Nothobranchius furzeri: one gene and its partner. The protein of the gene in region 2 interacts with the protein of the main gene of each other region in a biochemical or structural test. Links are inferred from orthologs where the notes say so. Each region holds a gene or a part of one and is shown on either strand. Other genes may lie near its edges.

Evidence for each region.
Region 1: the proteins of ep300a (region 2) and maml1 form a complex in vitro, tested with the Homo sapiens proteins (2 studies listed by BioGRID). The link is inferred for Nothobranchius furzeri from reciprocal best matches to the Homo sapiens genes EP300 and MAML1.

What each region holds. Positions count from the first base shown.
Region 1 is NC_091741.1:65,499,976-65,503,632, forward strand, and holds part of maml1 (mastermind-like protein 1), read left to right. Parts: coding exon 1-535; intron 536-979; coding exon 980-1,204; intron 1,205-1,522; coding exon 1,523-1,661; intron 1,662-3,657. UniProt on the Homo sapiens protein: Acts as a transcriptional coactivator for NOTCH proteins. Has been shown to amplify NOTCH-induced transcription of HES1. Enhances phosphorylation and proteolytic turnover of the NOTCH intracellular domain in the nucleus through interaction with CDK8.
Region 2 is NC_091756.1:27,967,268-27,970,924, reverse strand, and holds part of ep300a (histone acetyltransferase p300), read left to right. Parts: coding exon 1-8; intron 9-210; coding exon 211-285; intron 286-3,579; coding exon 3,580-3,657. UniProt on the Homo sapiens protein: Functions as a histone acetyltransferase and regulates transcription via chromatin remodeling. Acetylates all four core histones in nucleosomes. Histone acetylation gives an epigenetic tag for transcriptional activation.

The DNA.
Region 1 (3,657 bases), on a different chromosome or scaffold from region 2:
GAACCACCTCATGCCTCCGGGTCCCCTGGTTACCAAAGACGTATCCCGGGCGCAGCAGCTGAAACAGATGGCAGCCCAGAACCAGAGAGCCCAGCAGCACAAACAGCCCCAGATGGGGACCAAGTTCCACAACCCCCCTCCCTGGCCCCAGATGTCCAACAGCTCCCAGAGCCCCTCCCTGTATCCTCCTGACTTCACTTCTAACTCCTCAAAGCAGTTGCTGATGCCCTCTCAGCCCAACAAAGGCTCGCCGAAGTCTGGCGCAGGCAGCTGCATGCAGGGGTCTACCGGGCACCCCAACATGCTTGGTTCCCTGACCTCAGGACACCCACTTAGCCACCCCTCAGGACAAGGTACTCAGGTGTCCCTGAACTTCCACAACACTAGACCTCTGTCGCACTACGAGGCAGGACCGGGTCCACCGAGAGCCCCCAACGCTCAGAACCAAGACAAGACCCTCGGTCTGGTGCGCCCACAGCAACCACAATCCAAACCCAACGGTATAAACTTCCTTCAGCACATACCACACTCACAGGTATGTACACACACACACACACACACGCGCACACACACACACACACACACACGCACACACACACACACACACACACACACACACACACACACACACACACACACACAGAGGTTAGGCTTTGTTCTACAGTCTCACGCTATAATCTGTCCTAGGCCATATTTAGGCAGACTGATCAACTGTTTAGAGATAATCAGGAGTTCAGCTATTTGAGAGAACTGTACTTGGATATTGAATATTTATCCCTTGTACTAAAAATCCCCCAATAAGTTTTAAAGATGACTTTTTCTCCTTCTACGAGTGTTGCTGTGTAGTCAGGAGACTTCTGATATCTTTATTCTGATTGAATAAGCACAGCTGCCAGTCAGTCAGTTTACAGGTGAGAGAAGTATTTGTCTAAAGGTGATTACATTTTTCTTTCTATCTTTTTTTTTTGTTTTGTTACAGGACCAGAACACCTACCCTGCCCCTCCACACGGCACAGGCCCTGTCAACACCATGACGCCTGGGCCCAATAACATGGTGGCGCCGCAGGGAGTGAACGCCTTGTCCATTAAACGTAATAACGCTGTGTACTCAAACAAACAGGCAGCAATGGCAGCAGCACTGAAGCAGCAGCAGCATCAAATGTTGGAGCAGCAGTATGTGCAGAGGCAGCTCATGGCTGAACAGGTGAGACTCACCTGTGATTCCACTTTGTGCTTACTGTGAGGTTTCTGAGCTGACTTTTAACCTCAGACACCAGGGGGAGCTGGCCCTCATTGGAGATCTGACCAGAGTGTCTGCTGAGGCAGCTGGAGCCATCAGAAGCTTGTTCACTTTTCCCATCATGCCACGTTTTTTTTCCCCTTATCCACCCAAGCAGCAATCCTTCTTTTATGGTTGCTTGTGGTTCTTTTTTAACTCAAGTTTCTCTGTTCTAAGATGTTTTTTGTAGTTTATTGGTGTGCTGTAAATCATTCATGATCCTGACTCATGAACCCTTTACAGGAGAAGCAGCGTCAACAGGAGCAGCAGCAACAGCAGCTGCAGCGACACCTGACCCGACCTCCCCCACAGTACCAGGACCAGCCAGGACCACCAGCCAATCAGAATCCTTTTCCACAGCAGCCAGTCAGTCAGTTTACAGGTGAGAAAAAGTTTTCATGCTTGCGTGTTTAGTGAGAACATGCCAGAGTATCTCTTATAATTGGATATGGAGCTGCAGGAATAAATGTTCTATCCTGCTTGGAGATTTTCCGCATCAGCCTAACATACCAGAGGACGGTGTAGACTAAAGCCTGATTTATGCTTCTCCGTCTGCGTCAGTGCGGAGACACGCAACGCCATTATCCGTACTTGCGTAGGGCACGCAAGTACGTACGGAGTCGAGCCCACTTTTTTAAACATCCGTCGAACGAGACGGATTACGCAAGCTTGTGATTGGTCAGGATGCCGCTGTTGTTTACAGCGCCGCCATTGCAAAGAGAGCCGAGGAAAACTAGCGGCAGACACGGAGAAGCTTGAAGAATACCTCGCGAAAAAACTCTAAAAATATGAACGTTTAATTCTCCCGTGACTGGAGGAGTGAAAAGATGCGCAGCAAGCATTTTATTTGTGGACGGAAATGACAGGAAACGTGGGTTTAGAGGTGGGGAGCGCATGAAGGGGTGGGAGAATGAGAGACAAATATGTCCCTGTTAAAAGTCACTTATATACACAAAAAACACAATATAAACACACGATCTTGGACCGATGCATGACAGGAAACCACAGAACAGCGCTACGCCCTCTGTTGTCCTGCAGGGCAATTGCTTTGCAACACTCTCCAGGAGACGGAGAAGTACAAGAGCAAAACGCTTCCGTCAGTCCGTGCGTGTCTGTCCCTTGCGGAGCTGACGGAGAAGCATAAACCAGGCTTAAGGCTGGGTGGTAAAGCGAAAATTTACCGTTACGCAAATGTATAACTCTTACCAACGTCATTTATTTATAAATGTGAGTCAGTTGCTGATGTCCATGTCCCTTTTAAGAAGCTGCGACACAGACCAGTGGGGTACACGTCACAGCCAGTCACATAGTCATGTGACTCCAACCCATCGAGTCTGTAACAAGAAAAGCAAAATGAGGAAATGGAGAACGAATTAAATATGGAAGCAGTGGGCTGCTTGCAGCTCATAGTTCTGATTCTCTCAATACTTGTGGACCACGGCTGCTCGTAGCTGCCCAAATCTTGTAACAGTTCTCTTCTCAATGACGCTCGCCGCTTGGTCCGCAACACTCTGCAGCCAGCCGCAGTTATTGATGGTCAGCCGAGAGCGTTGATCAGCGGGCTACAACTGACATAGGTTTAGTCGTGGAGAAGCTTGTTTCCAAAAACGTGCATCAATCATTTGGTAACAATATGGATTCAGCAAGGTTGATGTGATGAAAACAAGACAATGTAAACTGGGCAGAAAGACTATCACCAAGTCAAGATAACACGTATATCTTCAGTACGTCTGGGTTTTATTTAGAACCTGACTACTGGACAACTCAAATGTGACTTCACCTGATCCATTTCAGTTCTTTTCAAAACCATCTAGTTTGGTGATACATTGTTAAATCTCCATCCATCTGTTTTCCTCCACTTATCCAGGGCCAGGTTGTGGGATCCTTAGTCTATAATTCAATTCAAGTTTATTTGTATAGTGCCAAATCACGAGTCATTTCAAGGCATTTCACAAAATCTTTAAATCATGAGTCATAGGTTAAATATGCTAGTTATTAAAATTATATATATATTTATATATACACTATATATATTCATTATCGAAATCTTGTTGATAATGAATAAAATTACAATATTGGTGGATTCATAACATATAACCATAAAAATTGGAAACAAAATACATGGGAGCAGGTCTACATCTCTGGGCGATGCCATATTAGGGCTGCCTCACACGAGAGCAAACTGCTGAGCTGACAGTCATTCGAGGCCGCTTGCTCAGCAGATGGCTCGCTGTGTGTGCCTGATTTTCAGTCTTTTCTGCCTGAGGTGAAATTCAAACCGGTTTGAAATTTTTCACCTCACGGGACAGAAACTGGGAATGGAGAAAATGCTTCTTCTTGTTTTGCAAAACATGCATCAACTGGTGGGAGCTGTAAAT
Region 2 (3,657 bases):
TCCTGCAAGTGAGTGTTTTGTGGCGTATCTGGTCTTCAGATTCAAGCAATTGTTTAATCTGACAGTTTATGACACGTAGGACATTCTCCCTTCTTACTTTTATTTGATTATGCGAAGGGATCCCAGGTCTTGAATGTTTCAGTCATGCTTGATGCACCTTTCTTGTTGTGTTCACTGATGAGTGTTTTTCTGTCTGTCTGTCCGGTTTAGACGGCCCACTCCCTGACCCGTCAATGGTGCGTCCTCCTGGACCCAATCCGATGGTTCCCAGGATGCCAGGCCCAGGTACAGAATCTGTTCTGAACTTAAGACTATTGTTCTAGAAATGCTCCAAAAACTCAGCTGCTGATCAGAACCTGCCCATAAACAGCATGATCAGCTTAATCAGGCCGATTACAAATTCTGTAGTTGTTTTGATGAATGAATAAATAAATAATGAAGGAATAAACACAGCATTTGCCAAGCTGGAATGATTGTCTTCAAGTCTGTGAACTCACCATCGCTACAACAAAACTAATTTACTCTAACAATAGCAGATTTTAAATCTGAAACAATTTTCATTCTAGTTTATTTCAACCTCAAAGCAAGTATCTTGCTAATTATTACTGATCAGAATCTGTTTACTGGTCGGACACGGGGGTGGACTGGCATTCTGGCACTGTCACGGTGGGGCCCCCCACCCACTCCTACATTTGGTGGAACCCCCCCCCCCCCCCCCCCCCCCCCCGCAAGACCGGCAGCGTAAACAGAGCGTGCACGAGGATAACTGGGCGTTCTCTCTCATGTGCATTTTTTAAAAAAGTGGTGAGGGCGGTTCTTTCCTGAAATTCAGAAATATCCTCTGCCACATACATTAAAGGCCAAAAGTTTGGACACACCTGTCTCATTCAATGTGTTGTCTTTATTTTCATGACCATTTACATTGGGAGATGTGGAGTTATGTACTTAGCCCAAAAAGGTAAAATAACTGAAAACATGTTTTATGTTCTATTTCCTTCAAAACTGCCACCCTTTGCTCTGATTACTGCTTTGCACACTCTTGGCATTCGCTTGATGAGTTGATGGTTGCACACGTTCCCCTGCTGTTTCTCACCAGTATCAGCTGATGGAGGGCTCTAGTTTCGTTGCGCCGTTCGTGTCAGCGGACACGGTAGGGTCGGGGAGGGGGGCGGGGCATGACGCTTAGCCTGGCTGGCCGCCAGGCTTATACAGCGCTGGGGGAAACCCTGCGTACTGTGCAACCCAATATTTTTTATTAACAAATAACAATCAATAATTATTTATTTGCATTTTCTTGAGCCAGTATGTGCTAAAATTACCCTTAATAGGGTTAATGAAATGTCACTCAGACCCCCACCGCCCTCTGTGGCCAGAATTTCACATTTGCAACTTCAGAGTGCCAGTCCGGTCTGCTGGACTTAGAAAAAATTTGAGCTTACATACCTGTCGCTGCAGCCTGGTTCCAGTATGTTTTAGATCAGGAGCACAAGTGATTTGTTTGATTTAGTGATGAACCACTCCTGTAGACACTGAGGAAGGCTGGGGAGATGTTTGTTGTTAGATTAAGGTGTTAAAAAGACGAACGCACAGCGAGGAGATAGGTTTTGCTTTCGATTCCACAAAAGGACACTAGGGGGTGCTAAACGTAAGCCAAAACAACCTAGTCTCGCCTGAAATGTTTTCATTAAATGTTCCTGTTACATCTGGAAAAGACAGCGATCCCTCCCTGCACACCATAGTGCTGCTTTTATTGATAGTATCAATGATTATTGCCATCTCATCTGACCACTTTTTAAAATGCTTTCATTTATTTAATTATTGATATTCACTGATTGCTCTGCGGCTCCACAGCTCACCGCTGTAGCAGCGCAGAGCCACTCGAAGGGAATAAAACAATTTTTTTTGTGCCTACATCACGCCCCAGAGCCTGGATTTCCATCTTGGTTGTCATGGTTACCTGTGACATCCTGTCAATAAGCATGTTTATTTATATGCACAAAATTCATCATGCAGCTTACATTGTCCATTTATTATTAGAGAGTGGGTGTGTAGAGGCAGGATGTAGTCGACAAACACCTGAGCACATTTGTTGGACAGCTGTGATTTTTAAAGCAGAAACAGAGTGGAGCCGTGCTTAAAGTAGTGCTAGTCTAAAGTAGAGTAAGTATTCTTTGCAAAGTTTTATAAATGATGTCCCAAACCTGGTGTATCCCAATACTTTACCTCAACTGTTAAAATCAGAAAAGTTGGCGTCAAAATGAGGCAGTTTGTTCTTCTATGTTAAATATTGCTTAGACAATAATAATGTCTCAGGTACAGCATAATCCTCTGTAGATTCTTCAGAAATTAATCTATTTTGTGTGGGTCCAACCAAACTGTATGATTAAATTCACCTACACATGAGCAGCACGTGACAAAGATGATTTATTTCAGTAATTCCATTCAAGAAGTAAAAGTTGTTAGATTAATTTATTACACACAGACGGATATTTTTCAAATGTTTATTTATTTTCAAAATCCATTCAATAATCCGGGGGAAATTCACAAAGAGGTGACTGCAGCTGCAGTAGGGTTGCAAGGACTAACCGGTTTGACTCGCGTTAGTGACTGAACTGATTTAACAGTAATATTAGAACAATCCAGTGAACAACGGTTCATATTGTGTTGTTCTACGTTTCCCCCAAATCTGAATACAACAAGCCTGTACTGCAAGCCATTTTAATATTTAATCAACTACACCACTCTGTGATTCCTGTTCTACTTAGCAACTGTATAATTCATCATTGTCCAAATAATATTCTTACTGATGAAAATTCAAAGGATACGAATAAATAGAAATTATATTTAAGTAATAAGTAATATTCATAATGACAGCTACACTAGTAGGAATTTAGCATTTTAATTCATGAAGGTGTCTCCATCCTTCAGTGCTTACCCTGACCAGCTGTCGACAGTTGAACCTTTTTGTCTTTTTACAGAAACTCAAAAAAGCCTATTAGGCAAGTATAATTAAAGGTGTGGTTCACTGAAAAAACATTTTTAGTGATTATTTCTGATAATCAATCACTCGGGTTTTCATGCAGGCTGAACATGAAAATAGTCTCCTACACCTATCTCCTGCACCAGCACCTGAATTAACAGATCACACTGTAAGTGGCTTTGGACAAAAGCGTCCGCTAAATACATAAATGACAGGAAAGAAGACGATCACACCGTCAGGTGAAGAAATGCTGAGAACGATGCTAAACACTGTGAGGTTCAGGATGGACATTAAACACGCCTGAAATCTTAATCGTGATCAGAGGTGTTGCTACTGGGCAGGAAGAACACACACTCGGTGTTTAGTTTATTATCAGTCTGTGCATTTGAAGTGATAACATGTAAGAGGTCTAAAGTAAATAAGTGTTGGTTTTTATTAGTAATTTCTTTCTTGAATGTGCAGTCCAGACAACTTGTTATTAATGTGGGTGTAATTTAAAGAGAACTGTGATCTCAGTCATCAATGATGAAACACCGATTCCCAATTTAGCAAGAATGGTGCGCTCCTCAATCCTCATGATGCTCTGGCTATCTTCTTAGGTATGAACCAGTTCAATCAGATGGGGATGCAATCTATGGCTCAGAGGTCCACACCGCCTCTGCCCATGGGAGCACCTG